3 linked regions of the Ovis aries genome follow. The protein of the gene in region 1 purifies or fractionates together with the protein of each later gene. This does not show direct contact. Links are inferred from orthologs where the notes say so. Each region holds a gene or a part of one and is shown in the gene's direction. Other genes may lie near its edges.

Region 1 (3,978 bases):
AGATATAGTGGCCTTATCACGGATGCTGTGTGAGAAATGTTCAGTGATCTTGATATCTAGCCAGTAATAACATTTTATGCATGGAGCTCCATCAATTCCCTTAATCTGAGACTCTTAACAGAGATATCACAAGTTAAGTATTTTATTATTACAATAAAATTGAAAGCATGATAATACCAAAATCAAAGTCAAAATTTACTATCAAGAATAAGCAGTAAGGGATGTATGATCCAATATCTATGGGGCAAAGAAAGTTGTGATTCACTACTATGTTTATGCTATATTTTAACTTTTAGTGTGAGTTAAAATGACAGGCTCTGGAAAAGATTTGAACCCCATTTCCACTATTTATTAATACTTCAAGCCAAAGGCAAATAACTATCTTCAGTTTTTTTCACCAAGGTTGTTGGGACGTTCAATAACATAATGAATGTATAATGAAACCGTTTAGAGCTCAGTAAACTCCAGTACTTTGGCCACCTCATGCGAAGAGTTGACTCATTGGAAAAGACTCTGATGCTGGGAGGGATTGGGGGCAGGAGGAAAAGGGGACGACAGAGGATGAGATGGCTGGATGGCGTCACTGACTCGATGGATGTGAGTCTGAGTGAACTCCGGGAGTTGGTGATGGACAGGGAGGCCTGGAGAGCTGCAATTCATGGGGTCGCAAAGAGTCGGACACGACTGAGCGACTGAACTGAAACACAACGAAAGGTTAACAATTCTTATCAGTAGCATTTCAAAAAGAAACCATGTAGTACTATTTATTATGTTAATATTTAATATATCATACACTTTCAGGGAAGAATAGCTCCCTGTTGACCACAATGACCTCTCATCAGAACGTCTAGAACCCCAGGGAAGGCCTGGGGTACTAACTCGACGCTGTTAAAATGTGATTTACTCAAAATTCAGGGCCCAATTATGTGCTTTAGGAGGTAGAAGCTCACTGCTTGCAGAGAGCAGGCGCTCTGCGGGAGGGAAGGGCCTCCGGATGGATAGCGAGGAATTCCTCCCAGGCCATCCGAGGAGCCGGATGCACGCAACCACCGGCTGGCGGGGCCGCGCGGCGCGTGGTTGGGAAGGTGCCTCCGCGGCGGTTGAGGCCCTCGGTGCAGGTGCGCGCAGCACGCGCCTGTGGCCGCCGCCTCCTCCCCGCCCGCGGCCGCACGCGCACGCGCGGTTAGCAGTCGCTGCTGCGCGGCCGGCGGCTGGACTGAGCTAGGGGAGACGCGGGGAGCAAGTGGCAGCGGCTCGGACACCTGAGCTGCCACTCCCGAAAACGGGCCCGCGAGACAGGTGCGTGGGCAGTAGTAGGTCACTTTCCGCGTCCTCTGCGCTCCAGCTGGGGGTGAGGAGGCCGAGTCCTAGCTCTCCCCCGCTGGGCGGGGGTTCCTGCTGCGCCCCTTTCTTGGGCGTCCGCCCGGCGGACCCGGCGGGGCCCCGTGGGGAGGTGGGTGTTGAGTTTGGGGATGGGGACGCGCCAGCGTCCGCGTCCGGGAGAGGTTCTCGGGCGGGCCCTCCGGGCCTCGGGGGCGGGGAGGCCGGCCCGGGCGGGCGGCGCTGGGGAGATGCCCCCTCGGGGTCGGTTGGGACGCCCGGCACTTCTGTGTCCACGGCCACCTGCGGCGCTGGGGCTGGCGCGGGGAAGGCCAGGTGGCCCGTCAGCCCGGCCCGTCCCCGAGGTTCAGAGGCCCCGGGGGCCGAGTCCGTTACTCCAGCGGTTGCCATCTCAGCCCCGTTCCACGCTCGAGCCCCGGGGCGCGCTCCCGAGGGATGGAGAGGGGGCCGGTCTCGCTTCAGCGCTGCTCTCTCCGCCCGCTGCTTCGCACCGACAGGCGAGTGAAACCCAGCTAGGCTCAGTTCACGCCCTCCCCGCCGCTGTAGAGGCGGAGGGACCCGACCTCGCGGCGCTGGTGGCCCGCGACTCCCGGCCGCTCCCTCGACGCGCCGCCTGGAGCCCGGTGCGCGCCGCTGGGGAGGGAGGGAGAGCGTCGGGATGAATCCCACGAAGCCGTAATGACTCGAGACTCATTATCGCCGTCGGCTGTTTACGATCAGAGCCTTTAGCTGATTTTATTTATAGCACCTGCCGGAGCAACAGGAATCCGAGGCGTTTGCTTTGGATATATAAGCAAATGGCAACGACGTCCAGAAGGGAGAAAGCAGATCATTGGAGAGTGGCCGTGGGAGGAACTCTCGAATTAGGAAAGTTAGTTTGTATGGAGACTTTTTGATGCTTTAAAGACATCAAAACCTTGATCTAGCCTTGCGAGTTTGTTTGCTTTTAAATTCTTAGGTCACTCTAGGTCTTTTACTGAAGGTAACCTTCCTTTGGGCAATTGTTTGACTTCTTTTAAGTTTACAGTTTTGTCTTCACGTGCCATTGGTTTGGTCTTCCAGTCACATTGAGAGCTTATAGGTAAATCCATCGAAGATAGCCCTCATCTAGTTGATAAAGTTGGTTATTGTGTATGGATGGTGTATGTTAATGGATCCGCAGAAACTGAACCGTGCTGTGCTTAGTCACTTCAGCCGTGTTGGATGGACTCTGGGACCCGATGGACTATAGCCCGCCAGGCTCCTCTGTCCATGGGATTCTCCAGGCGAGAATACTGGAGTGGGTTGTCAAGTGCTGTAAATTAACCTTATTGCTTGTTCCTAATAAGTTTTAGTGCTCTTAACTGGAAAGCTAGAATTGCTAGCTTTAATAGACATTAAGATCATCCAGCTTAATCCTTTCACTTGATAGATGGGGTAGGGGGGAGGTTTAGAACAATTTTAACCCTTTCCTTTTTAGTAATAGAATATGAAACTTGGTATGGTGGTGCCAAACTCAGTGTACTTTCTATCATATCACTTTGTAGTTGAGCTCCTGAAGTTACATGACAACTAAAACTTTAGTGATTTTTTCCAACAGTACTTTTGAGGCTTAGTCGTGCTGGTGAGTCCTCAGTCAGCCATTAAAACTGAATACCAGAAGCATCTCAGTTATAATAGCAGATAGAAAGCACGAATGTGTTAATAGGTGAGTGTCAAGAGTAAGAAATGAGTCTTAAAAGAGCAGAATTTATACTGAGAACTGTAGACAGCTGTTGAACGTTTTTATGAACAGGTAGTACACTTGTTCTTTAGAAAATTCATGCTCGAGAGAAGGTGGCAGATAGATTGATTGGGAAGGCTGGAAGTGAAGAAGCAAAGTGGGACTTTACTGATGCTTTTCAGAAGTCATGGATTCCTAAATTAAGGCTGTGGCATGGATATATATACATTCAATAATATATACAACCAAACAGGTTTAACTACCAGTGGTATAGAATATCAGCAAGAATAATCATAAGATAGTGACAGAGTAACATGGCTGATTTGGTTGACCAGAGGTGCAGTTAATGGAAGAAGGGAATTGAGATTAGAGAACTGGTTTGGGTGGAAAGATGAGCCTCAAATTAATGGAGGCTTTGCTACATCCTAGAAGAAACTAAAGGGTGATGGCTTCTGTGCTGTGGATAGCATTTGGGAGTCTTTAGGGGTCGGAGAAGGCAATGGCACCCCGCTTCAGTACTCTTGCCTGGCAAATCCCATGGGTGGAGGAGCCTGGTGGGCTGCAGTCCATGGGGTCGCGAAGAGTCGGACACGACTGAGCGACTTCCCTTTCACTTTTCACTTTCATGCATTGGAGAAGGAAATGGCAACCCACTCCAGTGTTCTTGCCTGGAGAATCCCAGGGACGGGGGAGCCTAGTGAGCTGCCGTCTGTGGGGTCACACAGAGTCAGGCACAACTGACGCGCCTTAGCAGCAGCAGCAGTCTTTAGAGGTAGAGGCCAAGAGTATATGAAATGTAAGGAGAAAGCCTGGGGACAGAACCTGAAGGAACAGCGTCATTTACAGGAGATTAGAGAAAGCCCATAAAGGTGGCAGAGAAGATGAAGAGAATCAAGACTCAGGAATAGCATCATGGAAATCAAGGAAGGAGAGAG
Region 2 (4,020 bases), on another chromosome or scaffold:
ATAGGCCTGGACAGGAGAGAGGTACCTTACTATTTTACTTGAAATAGAATTCTTCATAACCTAAACCACGTCGAAACTTCCAAGCAAGTGCTCCACTGTTAGTTTTTGCTCTCAATATATTCATTAAAAAAAAAAAAACAACTTCAAGTTAAAAATCGTCTTGATACAATAAGTTATCTATCACAACTAGGCTCCGTTCTCGTCTTCAAACATCACAGCTTTTAAAATGAAGGTGTCATTGTAAGAGTGAACACACCCACTGCATCACCACAAGAATTAGTAACAGATTATGCAAATTAACGCTGCCTGGGGGTAAACGCCTCAAAGACAGTACAGAGGAAATCCTTCCTCCCCAAAGGCGCAGGCCTGGAGTGAGTGGGGGGAGTAGCGGCGAGCCAGATCTCCGCGCAGGCCTCGCCCCGGGCGCATCTTGCCTAAAACTCCGGAAGCACCTGCGGGATGGACGAGAAAACCGGCCGCATCACCCGCAGGCGCGCTGGGCGGTCAGCGGCTCCAGCATCGCCTCGGGTACCAAGCGCCGCAGGGTAATCAGCCCAGTAGCCCTGCAGCATCTCGCGAGATCTCGCCGTCTGAGCCCCGTACTGCGAGCTCAGAGCTTAAAAAAAAAAAAAAAAGGCAAGCGGGCGACATCCCTCGGAGCCGCCGCCGTGGTGGCAGTTGGCGCCTGAGCATCAGCGATCGGCGTGCGCCGAGGCACGGCCCGTGCGCCCCTTCTCCAGCCTGCTCGGGCTGGGCGCCGTCCGCAGCTGGTCCGCCGTGGCCTGGGTGCCGGCCCACTGACGCGCGGCCCTAGGGGCGGGGAGGAAGGGAGGAGGCCGGGGGCCAGCTCCTCTCCGCCGCAGAGTGGGGCGGGGGAAGGAGGTGGAAGGGTGGGAGGAGGGCGACGGAAGAGGAGGTAGCCGCGCAGAGATCTTCCCGGCGACGGCGGCTGGCGGCCGCTCCCCGATCACGCAGCTCGTGCTGCCGGAGGCCCGGCTCGGACTGGCCGGACGCGATTCCTGCGTGGAACCGCGCAGAAGCCTGGACCCACCGGGAACCGAGGGAACCTCTGCCGCGCGCCTCTGCCGGTCCGCGGGTGGGCGGGCTGAGGGGCGGAGGAGCCGCGGGCCCCGCCTCCCGCGTGCTGCTGCCGGAGCCGCCACCGCCGCGGCACCGCCGAGGCTTTAAACAGCGGGGCCCGCCCCGCGCCCGCCACACTCGCGCGCAGACTCGGCCGCCGGAGGCGTTCGTGCCGGCTCGGGCTAGCGGCGGCGAGCGCGCGGCTGTGAGTGCGACTCCCCCACCTGGTGTTGCGGCCGCTACCACCGCCGGCCGGGGGCGCGGAGGGCGTGCAGCCCTCGAGGTCCGCCAGGTTCTCCGGGTCCGCCGGGGGTCGGGCGGCGATGGAACCGGGGCCCACGGCGCCCTCCTCCGGCGCCCCTAGGCTGGCCGGGGTTGGGGAGACGCCTCCAGCCGCCCCGCTGGCCGCCGCCGGGATGGACCTGCCCGGCACAGCCGTGCCCTCAGCGCCGGAGGATGCTGCAGCTGTGAGCCGTGGCGGTGGTGGGGTCCGCGGGGAGGGCGCCGCGGCGGGCGGCGACGGGCTGGGCAGACCCCTGGGGCCCACCCCGAGCCAGAGCCGCTTCCAGGTGGATCTGGTTTCCGAGAATGCCGGGCGGGCGGCGGCGGCGGCGGCTAGCGCTGGAGCGGGAGGCAAGGAGACCCCCGCGGACGGGAAAGCCAGCGTCGAAAGCGGGCAGGCTAAGGCCAGCGAGGAAGCCAAGGGCCGCTTCCGCGTGAACTTCGTGGACCCGGCTGCCTCTTCGTCGGCGGACGAGAGCGTGTCTGATGCGGCAGGGATCGGAGGCGACGGGCCCAACGTGAGCTTCCACAACGGCGGGGACACGGTGCTGAGCGAGGGGAGCAGCCTGCACTCGGGCGGCGGCGGCAGCGGGCACCACCAGCACTACTACTATGACACCCACACCAACACCTACTACCTGCGCACCTTCGGCCACAACACTATGGACGCCGTGCCCAGGATCGACCACTATCGGCACACGGCAGCGCAGCTAGGCGAGAAGCTGCTCCGGCCCAGCCTGGCGGAGCTCCACGATGAGTTGGAAAAGGTGAGCTCTCCCGGCCCTCTCCCTGCAGCCCTCCCCTCCTCCCCAGCCTCTGGTTCACGCTGACCGCGGGACACAGCCGCCGGCTCTCCACGGGTAAGGCGGCGGGAATGGACGTGCATGACTCGCTGGCATCTCTGGATTCAGCTGTCAAGGGTGGAATTGCAGAGGAATGTAACTTAATATCTTGAAAGTTTGCAGCGGGTTAGGCTAGTTACGTGATACAGGAGAGGCTGCTTTTAACAACCTTCCCCATCCAGTTGTATATTTAGTTATGCCTTTTTTTTTTTTTTTCTTACCCACGCTTACCAATTACCATCCCTCTGAATGACAGTTGTGCTTTTAGGTCCGGACAAGGGAATGTGCGGAAGGTTTAGTTGAGGACATCTCTCAGGAGGGATTGGAGAGAACCTGCCATCCGTGCCTTTTTTTAAAGGTTGTATTGTATGGCTTCTGTATACCCATTAGGGCTCCCAAGAGTGGGAACGTTAGTGTTTGAAGGGAAAGCCTTAGCAGCGTGTTTGTGGTCTATGAATTATTAAAGCTCTGTACCTGCAATCTTGAATGTCCAAAGATCATAGAAATCTTAAATCTTGGGACAAGTTGTTCCTGATAATAGCATAAATCCACCTTTTATAATGTAACCTTTTGGAAGAGGGTCACATCAAAAGGGGGGGTGGAGTGGGCAGAGTCTAAAAGAGGGAGAGGGAGAGAAAAACAGGAGACTTGTTTTTTCTGTGGAGGATGTCTATCTAGAAAAGACCTTTTGGGGTCTTGCGTAAGTAGTTACACTTTGTGATCAGAAAGCCATCCCTATAAACTATTGATTTCTGTAATTCTATTTTTTATGACCCCATAAGACTTTTTATTTCTTCAGGGTACAAAATCGTTCTTTTGAGATGACATTGATGCCTTTGAGATTTGATTAATAATTAACTTCTTTTATAACTTGGATTGCTTGAAGTCTGCCTTTACAAGTGTATAATGACTACATTGATGGAATTTGTGAATGCTAAGAGTTAGTAGTACCATGTAGATTGATGTGATCATAGTGTCGAAAAGTTGAAATAGAAATACAGAAAGTATGTAATTTCTTTTGGATATGATTATTTGATCTCATACAGTCATTTTATACAAGATTACACCTGCCCCAGTGTTTGAAAATGTGACATAATATTCATTGAGATAATTACTGAGATCCCAACCCTTACAGTGTATCGATTGTTTAAAAGCCTGGCATCATTTAAGGATAATACTACTCCTTTCATTCCGTTATGGTATTTTGTCATTTCAGAAGAAAACATTTTTTAAAAAACATTTTATTCATATTTCTGTTGTTCCTCTCAAATCTATTCTTTTTTTTCCAAAATTCCTTATATAGTCCTTATAAAGTAGATTATGTAGCTGGTTTATGTAGCTGGTAATTTCCCTTTTCTTAGAGCATTTTTATTATTGAAAATACTGTATAGATATTTTCAGATTTATTTCATCAAAGCCCTTAGTTGAGTAGTAAAACAGTCTGTATTATGCATAAGTCTTAAAGGCTTTTTTTATTGAAGGATATTATTATATACCTTGATCTTGTATGCTTCCTGGGAAAGTTTTTGTTATTTTAAATTACATTCTCTAAATAGCAAATCACTTCTAGTTCTCCCCAAATTTCAGGGTTTTGTTTGGTGGTTTTGGTCCGCTCACAATGTATGAGAAAGAACACCGGCATGGTTTAGATGCGCAGTTGTTGAAGAAGTCACCTGGCCTGTCAGCCTCAGCTTCCTCATCTTTCAGAGTTCTTTTGAAGATTAGAGAAAAAAAATGTACACAAAGGCCCTTGTTAAGTACCAGCAAAATAATGGCCAGTGTAGTTACCATTTCAGTCTTATATTGGTCCTTCATA
Region 3 (4,054 bases), about 35 Mb from region 1:
TGTTGTGTTTATGGTTTATTTTGTATAAATTTTTATAATAAAATAATTAAAATTTTCATATTTCCCTGAGTTATTTCTTCTTACTGGTTATTTCATGCTCATTCATCTTCAACTGTGTACTTTTTAACTGGGTTTGTTCACATGTCAATTTTTTATTCAACTCTAAAGAACTTTAATTTCAATCTTGCTAAAACTATACACAAAAATATTGTTACAAATACTATACAACTATAGATTGGTATGAAGTTTTTAATAGAAGATTTTTTATGCACCGTACATGGATTCTGCCCGTGAATTGGTTTACCGCTCATCTAATAGCTAACAAAATGAGTGAACATTTATTGAGTACTTACTGTACATCAGGCATTAGGCTAAGCTTATTAGGTGTGTTGCCTCACTTCTCACACAACCCTATTTGGGAGAGACTATTACCTCCTTTAAAGATGAGGGGGCGGAAATAAAGCTGAGGAAACCTAAGTTTAGAGAGGTTAAGTGACTTTCCTAAGATCACTTAACATGAAGGTGAAATTCAAACCATGCAGTCCAACCTCAGACCCTGCACCTTTAAGTCACTGAGCTATGATAACGCTTGTGATCCTTTGAGGCTGCTGACATAAGAAAAATGAATTTTTTTTTTCCCCAGGCAGAATTTTGGTAATTTTGCATCTGTTCTAATGGTGCTAAAACTTCGTGTGTGTAGTTTTGAGAAGACCTACTTTCAGAGATCTGAGAGCTCTATGTGGTGGTTGTTCAGTCGCTAACTCCTGTCCCACTCTGCAACCCCACGGACTGCAGCACGCCAGGCTTCCCTATCCTTCACTGTCTCACTCTGTGTGGTAGAAACAGACAAAACCTCTGAAAAACGGAGAATAATAAAAACAATACAACAGAACAATTACAGCGCTGCAACTTCACCCCCTTTTTGTCCCTCCCCCCAAATTCTCATAAAAAATCAAGTTTAAAAGTTGCTTGTTTAGAACCCAGAGCCTGCGGCCTCGCATATGCATTAACTCCAGAATGACTGAATTAACTCCATGTTGGAGAAATTCGGGGTTTTAAACTAGACGCGGACTCCTACTTTTTCGTGATACTTTACATGGAGTGATGCCCCTAGAAGGACCTAAGGCCTGTGGCAGGGCTAGGCTGCTGCGGATGGGTTTGAGGGCGGGCTCTCTCTGCTCGTGATTGGTCCAATCACGGCTCGCCTTTCGTCAGACCGGCGGCCGATTGGTGGTTGCCATAGCTCCAGGCGTTCGCTTGACAAGATGGTGGCGGCCAGGCCTCCCGGGCAGTGCTTCCGAGTCCCCGCGCTTCCAGTCTTCTAAGGCGGGCGCAGCCTTGTTGTGCAGGCCCAGGCATGCGTTTGTTGCCGCCGGTCCCTTTGCTTTTGGGACTCCTCCTTCTGCAAGGCGTCTTGAGGCCGCTAAGGGGAGATCTGGGTGTGTAAGGCGGGGCAGGGGCCTGCAAGACGGGGATGAGGGAGAGGACGATTCTTGAGGCCAAATCTGGGACTGCCGCCAGAGCTGCGGAAGACACCGCAAAGAAAGCCATCACCCAGCGGTTCTGCAACTATTAACTCCTCCTTGTCCCTTTCTTCCCGCCTAGTTTTCATTCCTTCTGTCATCCGCATGTCCGGCCCTGTGGTCAGCGCGTCTCTGGTCGGAGGCACCGAGGATGTGACTGTGTCCCTGACCCAGCTGCGGGACGAGATGGGTAAAGAGCCTGTGGGGAGGGAGGAGGTTGGGCCAGCTTCAGGCCGCCCAAGAAGCCTGGCCAGGTGGCATCCTCTGAGTCCCTTGGAGCTGTCCCCTGCAAAGTCGGGATGGGGGCTGCTGTGGACCAGAGGACCAACAGACAGGATGAGTAAAAGAAAGCTTGAAATTACAAGTTAGCATTCACTGAGCTCTCCCATGTACTTAAATACATCACCTCATTTTCCTAATAAGAACAGTAATGCCTTTTAGTTCCTTTTAACAAATGAAGACACTGAAGTTCAGAGAGGTTGTCACAGGTCGAAAGTCACACAGCTTGCAAAGAGTCCAGTCCTAGGCTTGGAAAGGTGTTCCATCCTAGGAAATCTGACTCCAGAGTGCATACCTTGGTGGCTGGGCAATGCTCTGTTGCATTCTAATCTCTCCTGTAGGTTTATTGCCAGTTCCTACCTGTGGCGAGCTGAACAATGAGACAGGAGACTGGAGTTTGACTGTCACCCGGACTGTGGTAAGGCCAGAGGTGGAAACCTTCTCAGTAGCATTTATGGAGTCCTGCATCTGGTGCTCCTGCAGTGTTGCTTTTTTCTCTCTCTCTTTTTGACTGCGCCCAGCAGCTTATAGGGTCTTAGTTCCCTGAGCAGGGATTGATTGAACTTGGACCAAGGCGGTGAAAGCGCCGAGTCCTAACCACTGAACCTCCAGGGAACTTCCCCTGCAGTGTTCTTTTAATCAGACAAGATAGAACTTAGTGCTTGGAACCACCATGAAACTGTGGGCTATCTGATCCTGTAGGCACTCATTCAGCCCAGAGGTTCTTGGACGAGTTTCAAGAAGCTTGTGAGGGAATTCCCTGGTGGTCCCATGGTTAGAACAACATGCTGTCGCTGCCAAGGGCCCAGGTTCATTCCCAGGTTGGGGAACTAAGACCTCAAAAACTGCATGGCACAGGCCAAAAAAAAAAAAAAAAAAGCTGTGAACTCTCTAAAATTGTGTATAAAGTTATGTGTGTGTGCATTTTTTTCTGATGAGAGGCTTTCCAGCTTCTGTCAGATTATCAAATGAACCTGTGACTCAGAAGAGCTTCATGAATTGCTGGTCTCACCCAACTCTGGGCTTATGTGTAAGGACACTCAAGCCTGGAGAAATGAAATATTTTCCACTTAATAGATACTTCATAGAGTGCCTAGTATCTGCAAAACATCAACTCCGAACATAAAAGAGACAGACAGACTTTGCTTGCACCCTAGGAACCAGGGCCTGTTCCATGGACTTTTAGTTGTGTGTATTTAATCTTCTGCCAGTAGGATAATAAAGGTGCCAGACAAATATCTTTATCAGACCTGTGTTCAGCTTTCTCTAAACAGCCAAAGGGCTTTCCAGGTGGCTCAGTGGTAAAGAATCCACCTGCCAACGCAGGAGACCTGGGCTCAGTCCCTGGGTCGGGAAGATCCCCTAGAGAAGGAAATGGCAACCCACTCTAGTATTCTTGCCTGGAGAATCCCATGGACAGAGACTCCTGCCGGGCTACAGTCCATGGAGTCACAAAAGTTGGACACGACTTGGTGACCAAACAACAAGCAGCCACAACTTGTTTGCTTGTATATTCAGCTGAGGATTAGGAATCAGGGCCTGTGTACTGCTGTAGGTTTACAGGGTAAAATTGAGCAGAATGATGTCATTGGTCCAGTTTGCCTTTTGTAAAATGAATGGAGGCAGATTGAGCTTACTTAACCTTATGTGTTCTTATAGATGCCATTTGAGTCACCATATAAAGTACAGTGATATTTTCCTTTCAGAATTCTTTGGAAGTGACCGTGAGGTTGAAGAGGGATCTGCAGTCATGTTCCTCTAATGAGACAGATCCCTTCCTGGAGGCCCCGTGTATTGTCCAAACTCTTCTTGTTTCAGCCTTTCGTAATACATCCTGTTTAGCACATCTGCTCATTCATGTGGAAATTTATGCCAACTCCTCTCTGGGCCAAAATGCATCAGGCAAGTAAAGTCTCCGACTATCAAGATGTTCACTGCAGATGTTTGAATACGTGTGTGCCATGCAGTTTGTGTGCTTCGCTCGTGAGTCTGTCTTGCTTTCCTAAACTTATTTTTCTTTTGTTTAATTTTCTTATTTTAACAGTTTCCAGGGAATTCCCTGGTGGTCCAGTGATTTAGGGCTCCTCACTTTGAATTCAAGGGGCATGGGTTCGATCCCTGGTTGGAGAATTAAGATCCCATAAGCCACACAGCATGGCCAAAAAAGAAAATTATTAAGCCCAGGAGGGCTTAATAGTAACTGTACCACTCAGAGCAGCAACTTTTTTTTCTTTTAAAAAATATGCTTAAAT

Evidence for each region. The genes of interacting proteins can lie anywhere in the genome.
Region 2: the proteins of CLGN (region 1) and SLC12A2 purify together in Homo sapiens (co-immunoprecipitation; 3 studies listed by BioGRID and IntAct, with this or other methods). This does not show direct contact. The link is inferred for Ovis aries from reciprocal best matches to the Homo sapiens genes CLGN and SLC12A2.
Region 3: the proteins of CLGN (region 1) and TCTN2 purify together in Homo sapiens (affinity purification with mass spectrometry; 3 studies listed by BioGRID and IntAct, with this or other methods). This does not show direct contact. The link is inferred for Ovis aries from reciprocal best matches to the Homo sapiens genes CLGN and TCTN2.

What each region holds. Positions count from the first base shown.
Region 1 is NC_056070.1:17,352,844-17,356,821, forward strand, and holds the start of CLGN (calmegin), read left to right. Parts: upstream 1-1,175; 5' UTR 1,176-1,299; intron 1,300-3,978. UniProt on the Homo sapiens protein: Functions during spermatogenesis as a chaperone for a range of client proteins that are important for sperm adhesion onto the egg zona pellucida and for subsequent penetration of the zona pellucida.
Region 2 is NC_056058.1:23,632,625-23,636,644, reverse strand, and holds the start of SLC12A2 (solute carrier family 12 member 2), read left to right. Parts: upstream 1-1,213; 5' UTR 1,214-1,403; coding exon 1,404-2,129; intron 2,130-4,020. UniProt on the Homo sapiens protein: Cation-chloride cotransporter which mediates the electroneutral transport of chloride, potassium and/or sodium ions across the membrane. Plays a vital role in the regulation of ionic balance and cell volume.
Region 3 is NC_056070.1:52,066,004-52,070,057, reverse strand, and holds the start of TCTN2 (tectonic-2), read left to right. Parts: upstream 1-1,247; 5' UTR 1,248-1,357; coding exon 1,358-1,439; intron 1,440-1,605; coding exon 1,606-1,713; intron 1,714-2,143; coding exon 2,144-2,220; intron 2,221-3,508; coding exon 3,509-3,704; intron 3,705-4,054.